5 linked regions of the Mus musculus genome follow. The main gene of each other region encodes a partner of the protein of the gene in region 3 in a complex. Links are inferred from orthologs where the notes say so. Each region holds a gene or a part of one and is shown on either strand. Other genes may lie near its edges.

Region 1 (4,781 bases), on a different chromosome or scaffold from region 3:
CCAAAACGGTTATTTAAGCACAGTTTTTATTTTTTAATTTAAAAATACATTTATATTTCCTATTATTATTATTATTTATTTTTTGAGACAAGGTTTTTCATTGTAGCCTTGGCTGTCCTGGAAGTCACTCTGTAGACCAGGCTGGCCTAGAACTCAGAGATCTGACTGCCTCTGTCTCCTAAACACTGGGATCAAAGCTGTGTGCCAACACCTTTATTTTAACTACATGTGTTTGGGTGTTTTGCCTGCGTGTGTGTCTATGGACCATGTGTCTGCAGTGCCCACAGAAGCTGTTGGATCCCCTAGGACTGGAGTTACAGTTGGCTCTGAGCCCCTGTGTGGGTGCTGAAAGTCAAACCTTGATCCTCTGGAAAACCGGCCTCTCCAGCTTACTTACATGTTACACTACATTTACTTATTCATTATTTGTGCATAGATGCAGATGAGCACCATGACAGGCATGTAGAGGTCAGAGGACAGCCTTTCCAGAATTAAGATAGATGGTGGGAGCTGGAGAGATGACCCAATTGTTAAGAGCACCGATTGTTCTTGCAGAGGACCTGGAGAAAGGAGAATTGAGGGCCAGCACAGGCTACATAGTAAGACCCTACTTCCAAACAGGTAAAAATCTGTCTTCCATGTTAAGATATTGGTGTTAGTATTTACCTAAGTGATCAGCTAATGCTAACTTTGGGGAAGACAGTATCAGTGTTTATAGCTAACAAAGTACAACAGAAGGAGCCATTTAGTAAAATACCCTTTAACCTTTTTTTTTTTTTTTTTTTTTCCGAGACAGGGTTTCTCTGTGTAGCCCCGGCTGTTCTGAAACTCACTTTGTAGACCAGGCTGGCCTCAAACTCAGAAATCCGCCTGCCTCTGCCTCCTGAGTGCTGGGATTAAAGGCGTGCACCACTACGCCCGGCCTTTTATTTTTTGTTTTTGTTCTAACCTTTAAATAATCAGGGGGTTTGTTTCCTGTTTTCTATCTTTCCTGCTATGGGGCATAGTGAAAGCATTAACCTTGAAGACAAAAGTACCTGGTTCTAGGACGGTGGCCTTGTTATAGGAATGTCCCGACTTCAGTATGAACCTCAATGGAGTTTTTGCATTGAAACAAAGTCTCCAGTATCTCTGGCTGGTCTCAAACTCACAATGTAGCTAAAGATGACCTTGGACTTCTGATCCTTCTGTCTTCACCTGAAGAGTTGTTAGTGTTACAGATGTGGGCCAAGGTGCCTGGTTTAATGAAGTGCTGGAGATGAACTCAGGGCTTCCTGTATAGTAGGCTAGCCCTCTACCAACTAAGCTACATCAACCATCCTTATGTCATGAGTTAATAGATGATCTATGGGGTGATGTCAACATCTATGCACGTCTGATTTTGTACAATTGACACAGACTTTGGTGAGTGAAAATATCATTACAGTTGCTTTCTTTTTTTTTTTTTTAAGATTTATTTATTATATGTAAGTACACCACTGTAGCTGTCTTCAGACATTCCGGAAGAGGGCGTCAGATCTCATTATGGATGGTTGTGAGCCACCATGTGGTTGCTGGGATTTGACTCAGGACCTTTGGAAGAGCAGTCAGCGCTCTTACCGGCTGAGCCATCTCACCAGCCCATACAGTTGCCTTCTTGAAGAGACGCGCAGGCACAGCACTAACACAGGACCCTCCTCCTGCTAGCTCCACCCCCTTCTAGAGGCCTGCATGCCTGCTATTGGTTCCTCTGCCCGCCGTCGGTTGCCGTGGAGACTCGGCGCTGCGGCCCTGCGCTCATGGCGCTGTACCATCTCTTCTCTCACCCAATCGAGCGCGCTTACCGCGCGGGGCTCTGCTCCAAGGCCGCGCTCTTCCTGCTGTTGACCACCGCGCTCACCTACATCCCCCCGCTGCTGGTGGCCTTCCGGAGCCACGGTGAGCCTGCCCGGGCCTGGAGGGCCACACGGCGCGGCCGGCGGGCCCAGGCCGGCAATCCTAACCTGGCTCCCCCCAACCCGCCTTGTCTCCCGCAGGGTTTTGGCTGAAGCGGAGCAGCTACGAGGAGCAGCCGAACGTGCGCTTCCAGCACCAAGTGCTGCTCGTGGCTCTCCTGGGGCCGGAGCCTGAAGCCTTCCTCGCCTGGAGCACGTTCCCCACCTTCAACCGGCTGCAGGGGGCTCACCTGCGCGTCCCGCTCGTGTCGGTGCGTGGTTCCCGCCCGGATCCTGGGGGTGATAGGATGGAGTGAGATCCCAGTTTGGGTCATTTGACCGGGTGTGAGAGCAGAGTCTCGTGTATCCCAGGCTTGCCTTAAACTATATAGCCAAAGTCGTCTTTCAACAACTGATACTCGGCCTTCACCTTCCCAGTGCCGGGGATTCGCTATGCAACGCCCTGCTGGGGTATATGGGGTGCTGGGAATCAAACCCAAGGCTTTGTGCTTGCATGCAAGGACTTAACCACTGAGCCACTCTCAGTCCCACAGCTTGGATCTTAAGGAGCCACGAGGGTTGGAAACAAAAGTCCCTTTGGCCTGCGCATGCTTAACTTTCTAGATAGTTTTATTCAGTTTCTCCAGGTTTCCCTAGAAAGGCAGCCGTGCAGGCACTGTGTTTGCCGGACAACAAGAGTCCAGAGCCTGTTTCTGGTGCTGGTCATTTTCTGAATGGAAAGGTGGCTGAAGAAAAAACCCCTTTGAGGGCTTGTAGGCGGAGTTCTGTACACCCCAGTACGCTGCTGAGTTTGAACATCACCAAGCTGTAAAGACAGAAAGTACCAGTGTTTTTATGCAGACTTGATGCGGGGTAGGGCGGGGCAAGCGGTGATTGGTTGAATTCTCAGGTCCTGCTCTAGCCAAGCCACGCCTGTCTGGGTTAGGCTTCTCAACTCTTTGCCACACTGCAGCTGTCTCCTGTGTAAGGGAAACATTTTACTGGCTGCAGTTTAGTGTTTACTTTCGCATAAATCAAGTGCTTCCTTACGGTCATCCCTTGCCGTTCATATAATGACATGGGCAGAGTGATGACTTTAACTAGGTGTTTGTTAGTAAATATTTTGTTTCTAACCTCCACCTGAGGCAGGATTGCCCCCCCCCTTCCCTGACCTATACAGCAAGCTCAGGGCTATTCAGTCTCAAAAGCGTAGCGCTGGCATGTAAAGTCAAAAGACAACTTGGAGGGGTCAGTTCCCTCCTGTCACTGTCCCGGGAATCCAGCTTGGATTCCCAGGGTTGGCTGCAGGAGTCTTTACCTGCTGAGCTATCTCATTACCCATCCTTGATTTTTTTTTTTTTTAATTTGCTCCAATCGTTTTACTATTAAAATTAGTAAGTGAATAAACAAAGCTTTAACTAAATCCTACAGCTTTTTTATTCTTTTTGAGATGGGTTATTGCTATGTTGCCTGCCCAAGCTGTAAGCCCAGTTCAGCCAGCTACGAAGCTGGGACTACAGACGTGAGGCCCAGACTTAAGTCATGCACGTCTGAATGCCAGTGGAAGCGTTTTGTTGAAATTTCATGCACTTAGAGAAAACAAAGCAAGCAAGTAAAGTAATTGTTAACTGCAAGGAAATAAGCCACGAGAAGACGCTAGGAAGGATGCGCAGTCAAGGTTGCGAACCGGACTTGCGTAGTAGTCTTAGTTACGACATGAAAGGCTGACTAAGCAAAATGCGCACCTAGGGAAACTGAAGGGATGAGAGAGGGGGAGGTGCGATGGGGCCTGGTGGGAGTGGGAGGGGAGCGCAGGCTCCAGCTTCCCCCGTGGAATGTCAGTAGAGGATTCTCATGAAAGAGGTGGAGACTCGGCAAATCTTATTTAAACATCTGGAAAGCGTTTCTTTCTATTTGTTAGAACAGGGTTTCTCTGTGTAGCGCTGGCTGTCAAATAACTTGCTCTGTTGACCAGGTTGGCCTCGAACTCAGAGATTTGTCAACCTCTCCCTCCCCTCTGCTACTACCGCCAGCCACCCAGCCTGGGGAGGGCTTCTAACACACTCTCATTAGGTAACTAATGCAAAAGTTTTTGCTTTGGAAGTTTTGTTTTGTTTTAACATCATTGCACTCTTTTATTCTTCAGATGGTCAAGACTCTTCCCCCAGGCCACCAACACATACCCTTTTAGTTTCTTGAGACTGCATGTCATGTCATCCAGGATGGCTTGGTTTTGTAGCCTAGGATGACCTTAAAGACTTTGTGTTTCGGTCTTCCAGCCTGTGCCTGCTCAGCGCTGAGACTGCAGTTGTGAGCCACCACGCCTGCTTTTACTATTTATGTACTTACCTTGCTGCTTTGCTTATTTTATTCTCTGTGTGTGGGTACTTTGCCTACATGCACATATATGTATACTATGTGATGCCTGGTGCCTCGGATCCCCTGGAACTGGAGTTATAGACAGTTGTAAACTGCCCTATGGGCCCTGGGAATTAAACCAGGATCCTCTAGAGGAACCGCCAGTGCTCTGAACTGCTAAGCCAGCTCTCCAGCTCCATTTATTAATTTATTTATCCCTAAGACAGGGCTTTGTAATGAAGTCCAGCTATGGGCCAGGTTGCCCATATGGATCTGGTGATCCTTCTCTTACTAACTACGAAGATTACAAGCAAGGCCGGCCACACCTGGCCCCATTTTTATTCTCAAGCCTCTAATGCAATAGAGCCTTCCTAGTGCTTCCATCCTTTAACACAGTTCCTTATGCTGTCGTGACCACAACTAAAAAATTATTTCATTGCTACTTCATAACTGTAATTTTGCTACTTTTATGAATTGTAATGTAACTGATATGCAGCCTCTGTGAAAGGG
Region 2 (3,994 bases), on a different chromosome or scaffold from region 3:
GGGGGAATGTTAAGGACACTTCCTTATACTGTTTTGCCAACAATACTTTACCACAGAAAACTGCTGCGCTGTCTGAGAAATTACTTGAGATGATAATAACACTTATGCAGTGTTAATAAGCAGCATCATATGATTATATGATAGCTCATACATACCTCCAAGAAGAAGAGTGTGGTAAGCACTTGAAAGAGTGGATTAATTTTTCTCACAGTCTGAATCTCATTCCATTCATTTGCCACGAAATACGTTCTCCATATGCTCACAGGAACAGTGGCACTCCGCACACCACCCTCACCTGGGAGGGGAGATCACGTGAGTACAGCACTTTCCCTTTGCGCTGCAGGCAGCAAGAGAATTATGGCACAAACACCAATTTCAGTTACCTTCAACAGCTTTAAGAACTTTTCCTTTCGGCCGTTCCCAATCAATAAAGAATATATCTATGGAAATCTGGGATATGAACTTATGTAAAAACTGGAGAGCCTAAAAGTAACATACAACAAAACACTTGAAAAGAATCATCACTCAAGAGCAATTATAAAGCTACATACTCTTTACAAAGCAAGTATAATCACAAGGGCACATCATATACCAAGCCACACACCTATTAATTCGCCTTCTTTTTTTTCCCCCCTTAAAATAGGAACATGAGAAAAGAGGAGATATCCTCCCTCCCCCTCTCCTACAGGACCCTTGCATAAATGACTCCCTTCCTCTAGGCTCTGCACATTGTCTGACTTCTTTATACAAAGGTAAGCTGCAAAGCCCCGTAGAAGCAGTAGATACCCCTGCTGTCTTTCCTGTCTCTGGAACTGAGCTAGAAAGCCGTGTGTTGTTGGAACATCTTTCTCTCAGTTACAGGAACGGTCCATCTACACCGAGTTCTCATCCTGGGTGCATTGTTGACCAAGTACAGGATGGTAACTCTGCAGAAGAGTTCCTCTCTCAGTGGCTAAAGCAGAGACTTCACGTCCAAAAGACAATGGGATGTGGCTACTAAATAGGTATGTGTGGAGCTGTCAGCTACAAGGGGGAAGGCACAGCTGGAGGGGTGGCTGCCACAGAAGGATGAGGAGGGAAAGTTAATACTGATTTCTACAATTCCAACACATCACCAGACTTAGCTTTTAATCCTCATTAACAAAGAGACAAAATCCACTATTTCATCCCATTGTAATTTTATAGAAAAAGTTAAACACTGAAATATCATTTTGTCAAATTAGCTGTAAGTCATGATTGCTAATGCAAATTTATAACTTCTTTGAAGACATGATTTAAGGTATAACTTTAAATGGGCACATTTATAAATAAAGGCACATTTCCTATCTACAATAAAATAACTGATGCTTTCTTTCAAAACCAAGACAATTTTACACCAAAAATTTTAATTGAATTTGAAAGACTGGGTTTTTAGCATGTTTTTGAAATTGGGTAAGCTGTTCTTTGAAACCTACCTTCATAGCAAAGGCGCACCCCACATAAGTAACGAAACGTTCTTCCTGAACTGGCATCGGCAGCAAAACAGAGACTGACTTCTGTGCCTACAGTAACAATCACACAAGGCTCTTATTACACAACTTACAAACCAAAGGAAGCACACACACAGCAAGTCACGTTGATCTCCACAAACGGGACACCAAAGGGTGGGGCATTCGCAGCTGTCTGTGAGCTTGAGCAGAATTAGGTCTCTTATAAAAATCAGATATTGACATTTAGGGTAAGTTCAGAAACTCACTCACTTTGAAGAAAATAAGCCAATAAAGACCTGTTCCCACTGTGATGATAAAAAACACATTGGCCAGATCACCAGCATAGTACAGCAGGAATTTCATAACTGTCTGCAATTTAAAAAGAATTACAATTGTTAAAGATTCAATTTGTTACCTGATCATTACATTTATTTCTGCTAAACAATTGAGCAGAAAATATAAGCTCTATTTCACTTTCATCATATATAAAATAGAAATAATAAAAGCACTGCTTTTATTTTAAGAACTTAAAAGTATAAAGATACTTCTCTCTGTGTGTGTATGTGTGTGTATACATCTGTGCATGTGTGTATGTGCAGGTATGCGTGTGTGTAGGCATGATTTGTGTGCATTAGTGTATGTACCGTGGAATGTATTTATTTAGAGGTCAGAGGACAACTTTATAGAGTCAGTTCTCCCCTTCTACCATCATGTATGTTCCAGGAGTAGAACCTGCTGAGGACCATGCAGGAGGAACACAAAATGGCTTAGAACTCATGGAGTGCAGCCCACGGTTTACCAAAAAACCACCAAACCCAGACACTATTACACATGCCAGCAAGATTTTGCTGACAGGAATCTGATATAGCTGTCTTCTGTGAGACTATGCCAGGGCCTAGCAAACACAGAAGTGGATGCTCACAGTCAGCTATTGGATGGAACACAGGGTCCCTAATGAAGGAGCTAGAGAAAGTACCCAAGGAGCTAAAGGGGTCTGCAACCCTGTAGGAGGAACCCTATAGGAGGAACCCTATATATGCAACTAGAGACACAAGCTCAGTACCCCCAGAACTTGTGTCTCTAGTTGCATATATAGCAGAGAATGGCCTAATCGGCCATCACTGGGAGGGGAGGCCCTTGGTCTTGTGAAGATCATATGTCCCAGTACAGGGGAATGCCAGGGCCAGGAAGCAGGAGTGGGTGGTTTGGGGAGCAGGGTTGGGGAGGGTATAGGGGACTTTCGGGATAGCATTTGAAATGTAAATGAAGAAAATATCTAATAAAAACATGTGCCTGGTGCACAGTAAATAGTCAACAAATGTTAGTTAAAAAAACCCTCAAAGATTAAATGAGAAGTAAACTATAAATTTTTTTAAATTTTTTTTATTATTACGTATTTTCCTCAATTACATTTAGAATGCTATCCCAAAAGTCCCCCATACCCCCCCCCCACTTCCCTACCCACCCATTCCCATTTTTTGGACCTGGCATTCCCCTGTACTGGGGTATATAAAGTTTGTGTGTCCAATGGGCCTCTCTTTCCAGTGATGGCCTACTAGGCCATCTTTTGATACATATGCAGCTAGAGTCAAGAGCTCCGGAGTACTGGTTAGTTCATAATGTTGTTCCACCTACAGGGTTGCAGATCTCTTTAGCTCCTTGGGTACTTTCTCTAGCTCCTCCATTGGGGGCCCTGTGCTCCATCCAATAGCTGACTCTAAACTATAAATTTAATGGAGTAAAAGGAAGAATAATATATTTCGGCATTGAGATAGGCAAGTTTTCTAAACACAATAAATATAATATATATAGCACACACAAAATTAATTTGACAGTGTGGAAGTTAAATAAATACTAAATGCTAATTATGTATTGACTGTGAAAGGTGTGGTAACAGGTAGCTCATAAATTTGCATAAAAGATTTCAACATGAAAAAGAAAAAGGAGATTAATATTTTCAAAAGACAAACTCCTTCATATGAATAAGAAAAAGAAGAAACCTAATAGAAAAACAAACAAGAGATCTAAATAGCTCACAAGAAAGGGAGCCCAGTCATCTAGAGAGTATACACAAGACTGGAGAGATGGCTGAGCAGTTAACAACACTTTCTGCTCCCTGCGCCCATCTCTCACAACCACCCATAACTTCTGTTCCAGGGGATCTGGTGTCCTCGCCCTCTTCTGGTATCAGGCACACATGTAGTGCACAGGTATACATGCAGGCAAAACACCATACACATAAAATAAAAAATTTAAAGTACATAAAAAATAAATCAAAAAAATACAATCAATGTATGCCATTATATTGGACAAAATGGAAAGGCTGAAACATTCCAAGCACTGGCAAAGACAAAAATAAAAATGGTGTGGGAATGGGGATTCTACGGGATCCTAGGAAGGAAGCGAGCTTGCAATTGTTCTATGACCTGAAAATAGTTTTCCTAACTTAAACTCCAGACAAATCAAAGGCAACTTTCTTCTTCATCTTCTAGCTGTATGAGAAAGATCCAGAATAGTCAAAAGAT
Region 3 (3,994 bases):
AGCTCACAAGTGCCATTTAGAAACCTTGTTCCTCAACTGGCGTGCCAATATCCCGTTGCTAGGAGCTGCTGCAGGTGCAGTGGGTGTGAACAGCAGATGCCCTGGGCCGGCTTCCCTTGGCACTAATAACGGGTGTCTTTACCCAGTGCCGCGAAGCTAAGAGCCATACCCCAGGTTCACTGGAGGCTGAGTACAGGGGTTAAGCACCCCTTGGAATGGGGATCTAGTGAGGCTCCTCTCCCCACTGAGCCACTCCTTATAAATATACAAAGCAGATAATGAGAGGCCTGAAGCAGCTGTGACAAGAAATAGCTGGGCAATTAGGGGAGAATGGAGCGCACACCTCCGCTGAGGACGGCCCACGCGTTGCTGCTAAGACAAAAGGAGGAGGTGGGCAGAGGAGTCACGTGTGACCAGGAAGCTATTTGTAGGATGCCAGCGTCCATGAAACTCTTTGGGGAACTTTGGAATTGAAAGAGCTCATGTGGGGGTGGACTGCCATTACAGCCCAGAGGGCATGAAATGGAAGGAGTGGAGACAGGAGGCCACACCTATGTCCCTCTTGTCACCCAATGCTCGAGGAAGGCTTGCTGCATCACTGCCATCAAAGCTGACCGTCCTGGACTGGAGGACTGCAGGAAGGTCTGGAGGGCCTGATGTCCTGGGTTTTTGGAATATTTGCACAACCATGATGACTGAGAAATATATGCTGGCCGGGGAATCCGCTGTTCATGTCCACCTCTCACAGACAGTTTTGACAGTGGCCACCACACGAGGCCATTGGTAGTAACATGAGGCCATTGGTTGGCATTAAACATGGTTCAGATTTGGATGTCACTCTTTTGGGTTAGGGGATTTCTCAACCATGTTCAACTATGGTTCCATTTTACGGAGTGACCACTGTGTCCAGCCAACAGCCAAACAAGTGACCCTCTGGATAACCCTGAGTGGCCAGTGATAGTTTCTGGAGGGCTCTAGCAGGCCGAGCACGGCAACCATGACTCTGGCAGGCCTGACTCCTCTCCCCATTCCCTCCACCTTGTTAGATCATTAGATGACATCCTTAAAGCCAGCCGTGGAGGTCTGCTCCCTCATTTAGCCACCTCCTCCTCCTGGGGCTGACCACCAAGGTCCAGCTATCAAGGTATTGAAGTCCAGCAATCAAAAGCACCCTCCAGCTGCCCTAATTAACATGCCTAATTAAAATGAAACACTTCATCCCTTAGAAATTTCTATTTGCCTATGGGCCTTGTCTGTCTCCTCTCTATCCAGAGGCACTTCTTTGTCCCTGCAGGGCAAATATCACGCCCCCAGCCCCCTCTCCCTTGTTCCCCTTCCCTTCTCCCTCACCCTCTATCTCCTGTCTTTGTCTTTTATTCCCTGCTCTCCTTTGTCCTGGGAACTTGCTCTTGGGGTCCTAGGCTGATTCTGGTCCTTTCAGTTTCCATTGCACAGGGACTGCAGAAGTTTGAAAACTACTAGTCAAAGGCACTGTGAGGAAAAGCGGAGCTGGGCAAACTGCCCAGTTTGGTTGCAGCCACTTCCCTCCTTCTCTCCCTCCCTCTCTCCCTCCCTCTGGTCCCTCCCTCCCTCGTGCCTCCCCAGCCACCTGTGGCCCACCTGGCCCATGAGCAGGTGGCCAGCAGCCCCTCACACTCTTTACCTTCATGTTGGAGGAGTAGGTGACAAAGTGCACAGGCACCCAGTCCTGCACATCCTGGGCCCGGGAGTTCCCAAAGGCAGCCACATAGTCAGGGAAGGCCTGGCCTCTCAGCAGGTCCTGCACCTTCTGTGCCAGAAGCCCACAAGGGATGGTGCCTGTCAACCTTTGGGAAGGAAAGAGAGGCCGAAGGAGGGAGGTGCTGACAACCTCCAAGACTCGCCAGCCTCTATACTTCTATCCTTCTTTCCTCCAAGTGCTGATGTGGCCCTGACTTTGGGGCATCCTGGTCATGGAGATGGTCCAAAGCAGTTTCCCAACCAGTGATCCACCATTTCTCCCTCTATGAACATTGTGGCATGGGCAGAAGCCAGGCAACACAGTGCTTTTCCCACATCCTGTCCTCCTAAAGGGTGCTGGAACACCAAGTTCCACAGGAGGGAACCAGGGATTATCCTGGGCTCCTGCATCCTGGCATCCTGTGGCAGTGTTTGGTGGAACTCTTAGGAAGCAACACTGATCTGAGATCAGAGCTAGCAATCAAACTAGTAACAGAGTCACTCCAAAGAGGTGGGAAGGGCATGGGGGTGAGAACGGAAGGGAAAAAGAGAAGGATTTGTACAGAGTAGGAATTCAGCAACAAATATGGAGAACCAAAGCTCCAAAGATGCTATTATAGAACTCAGGGGGCTGAGGCAGGAGGGCCAGGAGTTTGAGTCTGCCCTGAGCTACATAGGGAGACCTTGCCTCCCACAGCACAGCTTTCTCTCAGTTGTTCTGTTGTGCTGTGTGGGTAAAAATTAAAAATTCAGAAATAGAAGGATTTTCAGAGGAAACACTTTTGCTCAGAACTTAAATGCTAGTTGCTATTTGACCTTAAGCACGATGTGTCAAGCCCCAAGGTGAGGAAAGAGGGAAGGCTGCGGCACTTGTGCTAGTGACGTGGTTAAAATGGAAGGGTGTGTGCTCTCTGCCACAGTCACTCACCTGAGCTGACAGCCAGACTGCACATTGTAGCCAAATAGCACAGGGGTGCGAAGCCCCTCGCTGGCAAGGCAATCCTGCTGGCTCGTGCTACGAAGAATAGTAAATTGGCCTTGTCTGTTCGTTGTCTGAATAATCCCAGATATTCACAGGCTGTTAAGGGACAGTCAACAGTTCAGAGCAGACAGACTGTCTAGGAAGAAAATGGCATCATGCGTACTCAGTGAGACCAAGCTCTTCCCAGCCCCTGGCCTGTTACCAGGAAGGGGCAAACATGCCAGTAAATCTCTTCCTTGATTGGCCCATCTTCGAAACTAGTTCCAGCCGGCTGCAGTGGCCAGGCCCATAATCAAGCTCCTCCAAAGGCTAAGGAGGGTTGCACATTTGAGGACTGACCGCCTGAACTACAAGTGAGTTTGAGACCAGTCAAGGCAACTTGCCGGAAGGAACCTTGTTTCAAAATGACGTGTAAGGAGTGGGCCAAGGCTCAGCCCGGTGGCAGAGCACTCTCCTAGTATCTCAAGACCTGATTTCAATCCTCACCAATGCAGAAAACAGACAATTTATCTGCAAAGCCACTCTGTTTGCTTAAGAGTCTCTGTTTAAATGTGAGCTGGCCAGGTATGACAGCACATGCCTGTGGTCAAGAGGCTGAGACAGGAGGATCCTGAAATCAAGGCCAGGCCACAGCCAGCCTGAGATCTGAAGCAACGTCAAAGTGTGACCTTTGGTTACTTGACTCAGGAGGCAAGGCAAAAGGATCTGTGTCAGTTTGAGGCCAGGCTGGTCTATATTGTGAGCTCAGTACATAGCAAGAGAGACTTTCTCAAAAACACAAAACCAAAAGTGAACAAATGAATCAAAGAGTCAAACCCTTCTACATCTAGCTGTCCTTTTAAATGCACTGCCACCTTCCCCCCAAGCACCAGGCTCTCCTTAAACATTCCAGTGGCCTGGAGTGGCCAGTCAGGTATCTCTTTCCCATAGGCTACCACAGCCCACCCATGCAGACAGGAAGGTGACTTTCTCTGCGGACCTCCAAAAGGATACCCCTTCTGAGGCTGAAAGCCAGCAGCCAGCGGGAGTCCCACCCTGTAACCAGGGTTGCCGCTGAGAGGAACAGGCTTGGTGCCATGCTGAAAGACAAGGTGATGCCCCGGGCTACAGTATTTAGGTACAAGCGGGGGCAACCCAGTGCTTCTCACTGTAACATCTGGAAGAACAGCTCCCTCTGTTCTCAAGTATAAATAGATCCCGGAGAGTGGGAGGACAGCACTCGGTGAGCCTGCCAGGCACGGGACAGCACCCGGCTTCCAGGCAAACCCCACAGCTCCTGCAGCGCAGCCTGGG
Region 4 (4,496 bases), on a different chromosome or scaffold from region 3:
GTACTTAAGTTTCTCAGCAATAGCTGAGACATATGTAACATTTTGGTGACTCTGAAACTTATTTTTTTTAAGCATGTACCACAGTTTACAGGATTAAATAAGTCTGGGAGTACTGTAAAACTTTTTTGTCTCTGTATGCCAAAGCTGAGTATAGGTCATATCACATCTATTTTCTCAGTACTGTTAACAGGGCTTTGCCTATGGTAAGGAGATCATTAAATTGAATGTGGGGAAGAAGACAAGAGATGCTTTAGGTAATAGTTAAGGAATTATCAGAAAGCACCTCCTGGCAAGCATAAGGAGTGGCCATGGGTGCTTTCCAGGAGCTGGGCAAACAACCAACAGCCACCTTGATGGCATTGTTTACCATAGAAGTGAAGACCTTAAAACTATGACTGGCCAGTTTAGGACAAATTATAAACAGCACACAGTCTGGCTGTAAAGGTCTACCAATCAGCACATTGGAAAAGTGTGATCGCCAGGGAATCAGATAGGAGCAACCAGGATGTTGTCAGGTCCTGATTGCATGGAAATGCTAATCAGCAGATCATGCAAGCTCCAATCATCATTTTCTACTGCCCTCCGAAAGGAGGAACAGGTAAGGATTAACCTCCTGACGATAAAAGGCAGAGGGAGCCCATTGCTAAATAAGTAGAGACATTTCCTATTAAAGGAAGGGTGAGAATACGTCACTTTAGCACGAGCCCAGTGACTTACAGTTCTTGCAACGCAAGAATAATATCTATTTGCAAGTCGTTTGAAGTATTTTATTCTCCATTCGGCACAAAAAGGGAGAAACAAAACCATCCCAGAATGCTCCCCTCACACGCGGCAAATTAGAAGCGCTATGTGAGATAGTTATTTGCATATCCCCGCCCACTCACTTCCGCCTAGCTTCTAGCGTAAAAACCCAAATAGAAGCATTACTTCTAGCCCTAACCACAAGATAAAAGCCTTTATTTATACCAGCCTCTTGGCCCATCCAATGGTCTTCTGAAAAATAGTATACGCCTTGCTCTTGTTATAAAATAAATTTTATTACAAAACTCTAATAAAATTATAATCCAAGATTTGAGAGATCTTATTCCAACACTGCCATCCTCTGCTTAGCCGCAGTTGGGAGGAGCAAGGGACTTGGGCGAGAGAAAACTGAAGCCTCTGCCTTTTTCTTGCAGCAGTGGGAGGAAGCTTCATCACTTTTCCAGCCTTGGTCCCTACACCCGGATTGTGATCAGAAGGGTTTCTTTTTCAGCCCAAAGACAGCGATGAATAATGCAGTTTCAGTGACAGCTGGGAAGGCGCTGTGAAAAGTACGGGGCCGCGGGGGAGGGGGGGGAGTTAGAGCCCCTTCCAACCCAAACACTTGAACCTCCAAACCTTATATGCGGGTGGGTTAGGGTGGGTATGACTCTTCAAAACTCTACCAATTTCACATGTGCAGGAAAGGTCTAGGTGGGGGAAACCTTCAGATTTGGGATCGATTTTCCACCACCCCCCCCCATTCCAAAATATTGGGTGCTAGGGCACCTGCAGAAGGTAAAAATGTACCAGTACGTGGTACATTCCCATCGCTCGAATACGAAGAAAGACAGGGCCACAGACGCGCTACAGTGGGCTGCAATGGCTTAACAATACAGAGGGGGTCAAGGAAAGTAATCGGTTCGTGATGGGCCCCGTTGGTACCTGGACTTGGGTTCAGCTTGTACCCTTCCCTTAAGACAAGCGCCAGAGTTGGCAGCCAATGCCTTCTGAATTTATGGACAGTTATGTGTAAGAGACCAGAGCTGAGTTTGCTTTGATAGGACCTCTCCCTGTACACTCTGTACACTTCTGGGAAGGTTAATGTCATATATGCCCTAGGCCACACAAGAATACCTACAGATCTGATACACTGGGGATTTCTCCAGTGCCCTGGTCTTCCTTGTCCACAATTCAAGAGTAAAGAGCTACCTTTTTAAAAACACAAACAAACAAACAAAACAAAACAAGCCAGGCAGTGGTGGTGCATGCCTTTAATCCAGCACTTGGGAGGCAGAGGCAGGTGGATTTCGGAGTTCGAGGCCAGCCTGGTCTACTGAGTTCCAGGACAGCCTAGGTCTACATAGAGAAACCCTGTCTTAGATAACCTAAATATATAAGTAAAATAAGATTTAAAAAAACCCAAAAAATTCACCTGCCCCTGCCTCCCGTGCACTAGGATTAAAGGCTTGCAGAACCACACCTGGGCTCTATTTTCTTGGTCCCTTCTGAGTTCCCATAGTGCTTTGTATTTTACACACACCTACAAGCATACTGTTTAATCACACTGATTTACAGATGTTTGTCTGCCACCTCTTCAAACGGGATAAAATGATTTTACTCCCATCCAGGGATCGCCAGAACCTGGCTCACATCCGGATTTAACGAATGTTTGAAGTCTATTAATTCCCCAACAGTGTCTAAAACCTCTCACCTAGAGAGAGATTCGGTTTACCATGTAGAGCAGACACTTGTGCCCCAAAGGCCTACAGAGGTGGAAAGAGTGGTAACTGGGATGAGTCACCTGAGGACGATGGCCAAATAAAAAGGATACAGAGGAGGCTCTGGGTGCTATTGAACATGGAGACTCCTGAGAGGAAGCCAGCCAGCTCCACTGCAAAGAGGCCCAGGGTGAGACAGAGCGCGGCTACCAGCCTGCAGAGAGAAAAGGGCTTGGACCAAGGTTTCTGGATTCTGTTGAAGACCCCTGCACTCTCACCCCGCCCCAAGAGCTCACTGGTTGTCCTGCTTTTCGTATTCCTCCGGGGTGAATTTGAGAGGCAGGCAAGCCTGGATGTTGCTTTCCTGGCGAGCCGGGCAGAAAGAAAGAAATGTCAAAAGAGGAATGGGGCTGCGGGGACAAGTTGGGAAGGGGCCGGGGAACGGAGCAACGAACGGACCCTGTGTGAGTGGACTGAGCTGAGCTGGGTCCACTCCAAGATGAGAATGGGAGGGCCAGGAGGGCACGCGCACGCGCGCCCTGTCCGCGTCTTACCCGGGACCAGAACAACGTGATGACAACCACCAGATGAGCCAAGAGCGTCAGGAACCGAGAGGGCACGAGCCCGGAGATCCGACCCATGGCCTCGGGGGCCTCGAGTGGAGGCCGTGGGTTTTGAGGTTGGAAGTCTGGGGTGGGTCACTCATCAAGTCTCCCTGAGCAAGCAGGCCAGACCTCTCTACTTAAGTGTCCTTCCCGCGCGCTCGGGCGCCGCCCGGCTGCCATGGTAACTGCGTCCGCAAGCGCCACGCTGCTGCTTTCGGAAGTCTCGCGATAGTGCTGCTCCCTCTACCAACGTCTATAGGCGCGGTACGTGAGCCGTTGATGGACCCAAGAGGATGCAGCCAGAACCACCAAATCCTCCCTTCTCCTGTGCTTCCCACTCACTGCCTTGGGCGCTAGGAGTCGAGGGGACGAACGAGGAGAGGCTGATGCACCGAGCTTGTCCCAGGGTCAGGCTAAGTCCCCTAGCCCCTGGTTGTCAGAGGACTCCCCCTTCCGCCCTAGAGCAAAACTTTGCCGAAGAATGACTCTAATTTCTTCCTAAATAACTTGTCTCCGTGTCATGAGAGATTTGCCGAGTGCAGAAATGAGCAGCCTTGGGATGGTTAAAATTGGATGTGGGTGAGGTGACTGCCTCGGGAACCGAGGGGATCTGAAAGGGTGAAGAATGGAGCGGGGGACTGGAACTGCTTGCGCTTAGCCTAGGCTGGGACGCTGACCCACCACCGATTTCACTCTTGCTCTGAGTTGTTAGGCCCCGGACATTGCTCAGTTACAGACCAAGAACCTCTTCTTAGGGTGATGTGACCGATTTGGGGCTTCGGATGAAATCCCTGCAGATCGGAGAATCGGAAAGTTCTCAGCACTTTCCAGTTCACAATCAAGTCCCATGTCAATGGACCTCCCATCCCACTTGCACTCTCTGGTCCCTCCATTCCTTTTTCTTTGTGCCTCTAAACCAGCCCAAAAGACAAGGCTCAGGACCAGAGGGATTTCATCTATTCAACAAATATTTGATGTCTCCCAGATGCCAGGCACTGTGCCCCAAATCTGAGAGTACCTCGATAAAGTCCCTCCAGGTTATATTCTAGGTGGGGAGATTGATAACAGCCAAAACAAGAACAAAACCCAGCGAGGTAATGCGTGCTATAATTTTTTTAAATTAAAAGATAATACTAGAATAATATCAAAGGGAAGCTTTGAAAATAGATACTTCTTAAATTTTTGTTTCAAGGAATTGGCAGAGAGAGAGAGGAAGGAGGTGGAGGAGGAGGAGGAGGAGGAGGAGGAGGAAGAAGAAGAAGAAGAAGAAGAAGAAGAAGAAGAAATGATTCTGTCTCCCTAAAGTAATACATGGGGTTCCCTTTCCTAAGCCAGTTAAAGGTCATGAAAGACAGACTGGAGGTCTTCTAAATGAACGGGGGGTAGGGGGGTGTCTAACTGAACCTGAGATCCCAAACCAGGCAAAAGAATT
Region 5 (2,719 bases), on a different chromosome or scaffold from region 3:
TTAAGATCCTCATCTTAGCTGCCTTGAAGCCAATATTCTGCTAGCAGCCTTCAGATGAAGATGTAGAACTCTCAGCTCCTCCTGCACCATGCCTGCCTTGATGTTACCATGTTCTCACCTTGATGATAACGGACTGAACCTCTAAAGCTGTAAGCCAGCCCCAATTAAATGTTGTCCTTATAAGAGTTTCCTTGTTCATGGTGTCTGTTCACAGCAGTAAAACCCTAACTAAGACATACTGTTTTCAATCCAAATTTCATATATGAATCTAATAGCTATTTAGCAGTTTGTTAGTGACCATGAATGAGTTAGTGATGAGATCAGGAATTAATGTGCCTACCATTGCCTGCTTGCTATATATCAGGCTTTCTCATGTTACAACTCCAATTTAAACAATCTCATGGGTCTAGAGAGATGGCTCAGCTATTAAGAACACTGGCTGTTTTTCCAGAGAATTCAACTTTAAGTCATAGCCCCACATGGTGGCTTACAACTTTCTGTGACTCTAGTCCCAGAGGATCTGACATCCTCTTCAGGCCTTCATGGGCATCAGGCATGCATGTGGTACACATACATGCAGGCAAAATACCCATAACACAAAAATTAGAAAAAAACCCAAACAATCCCATAAACCTAATAGTTCAAAAGAACTACACAGATAAGCATGACATGTTGTGGATATTTTAATATCAATAGCTTATGTTTTATGGCCTTCTATTAATTCTTTTCTTCATACCATATATTTTTCATGTTTTCCCCTTTCCCAACTCCATCTCATCTTTTTACTCTTTAATAATAAGACAGAAATGCCAAAACCAAAGCAAAATAAAACAAAAAGTCCACAAGAATACCACGGAGTTCATTTTATATTAGCTGACTCCCCCTGAGCTAGGACATGTCCTGGAGGGTGTTGTCACACTTGGTGAGATTCCACTGAACAAAGCAATTTCGTCTGAAGTGCCATACATTTCTTGTCACAGATTATAATCAGAAATATTATAGAAACGGTGGTATGAAACTGCCAACAGACTCATCCAACATCAGGAATATCCCCTCAGCTGCAGGGTTGATATGAGTGAGCCTTGGCATTGCCTCCATGGGGATTTCAGAGCTGGAGGACACACCCCAGCACGTATGTCCCCTTTCTCGGGCCCGACTCAGATGTCCTGTCACTCTCTCACTTCCTGGTCCTCTTGTATCATCTTTCTGTCGTTCACCACTCAGCATATGGTCAGCAGGTGGTCAGAGCTCTTCCGTGCATTGTCTTACCCTCCTTACAGCTGCACTGCTTGAAGACAGCTGATCAAAGTCCTGGAGGTGGAAACGGGCTGCCAGCTGGTTGACCATTTTCTTTAGGGTCAGAAATGCTGAGATGACTTGGAAAGTAAGAAAGATGGTGAAGATGATATGTATTGCTTTCTCCAGGGGCAGATTCCTTAGGCCATCATTAAGGAGCAAGAAAAGGATTAAAGGCAACTGCAGTAGAAGGCTCAGAAGCCAAAAGCCAGCTAGCTCAGGAACCTGCAGTGACACACATTGAGTGTTGTAAGATCAGTAGAATACAGTTTTGGTTTTGTTATACAGTCAGACATATACTTAGCAATACAAAGAAGCTATATTATAGGCTCTGTGAGTAGTTCAGGAGCATGCCATAGTCCTTGTATTCAGAGAAATCTACTGTCTAGATGAGAAAACCAATTTAATGTAAAGCAACTAACACCACTGAATGATGAACCACTACATTTAAAGGTCCAGACCAACTACCACAGAAGTCAAATGAAAGGTAGGCTTCGAGCTGTACACAATGGGAGCTCTCCTACCTGGAAGCTTGGGTATGACTAGGAATCAACACAGCAACCTAGCATGGATGGTTGGCTTAAGAAATACCAAGAAAATCAATAAGATGTTCTAGGTGGGGCCTGTTATGAAGGGCCTAGCAAACCACAGGAATTATTTAACCACTTTAGAAACTGTAAACACTTAGGCAGGATGATGATTCAGAAAACACAGACCAAGCACTGAATGACCATTATTATAGCTATATACACGCATAGAATGCCCATCATGGCAATCTTATTCACCCCATTACCCTCCCTGTCTCTCCCACTCTTGTTCCCACTCCTCTACAGTTGACCAAAGATTTCATTAAGTTTAGATACTTCATAAGATCATTGCACTTCATCCCAGAAACATGTCAAGTGTTATTTTCCTTGTCTAGTATATGAAGAAACCAGAGCTCAAAAGATCAGACAGTGACTTAAGTCTTCACGTTGGAGCTGCCCTTTAGACCCAGACTGGTGCCACTTCACACCGGCCATTGCATTACTTGTAAAAAACCTTAACCCTCTATTGTAGCCCTGCGGGGAAGGGAGGAACCCACCTTCTCCTGAAGGTTACCCATGCAGCCCAGGTATAACCGGATCGCTTCAATCAAGGTTATGAGGATGACGACAGTAACCACAATGAATTTGTAGTAGTCAGGCAAGATGGAATACTAAAAAGAAAAGGCAAAACATCCTTGTAAAATCTTCCATTGAGTGACATGGGCCTGGGGTGGAAGGGGTTTTGAGAAAGGGTCAGAAGAGAGCAGTGGGCGTGATGGAGACTCACCTTCAGGTGCAGCATCACAATGCAGCTCACCCACCACAGTGGGAAAAAGTAAGAGTTAAAATAAAGGGACATCTGCAAGGCCAGGCTGGAGACCATTTCATTATCTGCA

Evidence for each region.
Region 1: Tctn1 (region 3) and Tmem231 share a complex: the UniProt entries of both Homo sapiens proteins name them as parts of the tectonic-like complex. The link is inferred for Mus musculus from reciprocal best matches to the Homo sapiens genes TCTN1 and TMEM231.
Region 2: Tctn1 (region 3) and Tmem67 share a complex: the UniProt entries of both Homo sapiens proteins name them as parts of the tectonic-like complex. The link is inferred for Mus musculus from reciprocal best matches to the Homo sapiens genes TCTN1 and TMEM67.
Region 4: Tctn1 (region 3) and Tmem107 share a complex: the UniProt entries of both Homo sapiens proteins name them as parts of the tectonic-like complex. The link is inferred for Mus musculus from reciprocal best matches to the Homo sapiens genes TCTN1 and TMEM107.
Region 5: Tctn1 (region 3) and Tmem17 share a complex: the UniProt entries of both Homo sapiens proteins name them as parts of the tectonic-like complex. The link is inferred for Mus musculus from reciprocal best matches to the Homo sapiens genes TCTN1 and TMEM17.

What each region holds. Positions count from the first base shown.
Region 1 is NC_000074.6:111,930,764-111,935,544, reverse strand, and holds the start of Tmem231 (transmembrane protein 231), read left to right. Parts: upstream 1-1,731; 5' UTR 1,732-1,778; coding exon 1,779-1,917; intron 1,918-2,015; coding exon 2,016-2,185; intron 2,186-4,781. UniProt on the Homo sapiens protein: Transmembrane component of the tectonic-like complex, a complex localized at the transition zone of primary cilia and acting as a barrier that prevents diffusion of transmembrane proteins between the cilia and plasma membranes.
Region 2 is NC_000070.6:12,053,292-12,057,285, forward strand, and holds part of Tmem67 (meckelin precursor), read right to left. Parts: intron 1,839-3,994; coding exon 1,740-1,838; intron 1,542-1,739; coding exon 1,455-1,541; intron 1,005-1,454; exon of another isoform or gene 856-1,004; intron 753-855; exon of another isoform or gene 484-752; coding exon 384-483; exon of another isoform or gene 296-383; coding exon 156-295; exon of another isoform or gene 1-155. UniProt on the Homo sapiens protein: Required for ciliary structure and function. Part of the tectonic-like complex which is required for tissue-specific ciliogenesis and may regulate ciliary membrane composition.
Region 3 is NC_000071.6:122,243,838-122,247,831, forward strand, and holds part of Tctn1 (tectonic-1 precursor), read right to left. Parts: intron 3,781-3,994; coding exon 3,695-3,780; intron 2,838-3,694; exon of another isoform or gene 2,789-2,837; coding exon 2,648-2,788; intron 1,827-2,647; coding exon 1,664-1,826; intron 1-1,663. UniProt on the Homo sapiens protein: Component of the tectonic-like complex, a complex localized at the transition zone of primary cilia and acting as a barrier that prevents diffusion of transmembrane proteins between the cilia and plasma membranes.
Region 4 is NC_000077.6:69,069,551-69,074,046, reverse strand, and holds Tmem107 (transmembrane protein 107), read right to left. Parts: upstream 3,239-4,496; 5' UTR 3,101-3,238; coding exon 3,014-3,100; intron 2,824-3,013; coding exon 2,756-2,823; intron 2,674-2,755; coding exon 2,573-2,673; intron 1,625-2,572; coding exon 1,528-1,624; coding exon of another isoform or gene 1,449-1,527; exon of another isoform or gene 1,302-1,448; coding exon 1,232-1,301; 3' UTR 754-1,231; downstream 1-753. UniProt on the Homo sapiens protein: Plays a role in cilia formation and embryonic patterning. Requires for normal Sonic hedgehog (Shh) signaling in the neural tube and acts in combination with GLI2 and GLI3 to pattern ventral and intermediate neuronal cell types.
Region 5 is NC_000077.6:22,517,183-22,519,901, reverse strand, and holds the end of Tmem17 (transmembrane protein 17), read right to left. Parts: intron 2,715-2,719; coding exon 2,611-2,714; intron 2,495-2,610; coding exon 2,381-2,494; intron 1,522-2,380; coding exon 1,243-1,521; 3' UTR 671-1,242; downstream 1-670. UniProt on the Homo sapiens protein: Transmembrane component of the tectonic-like complex, a complex localized at the transition zone of primary cilia and acting as a barrier that prevents diffusion of transmembrane proteins between the cilia and plasma membranes.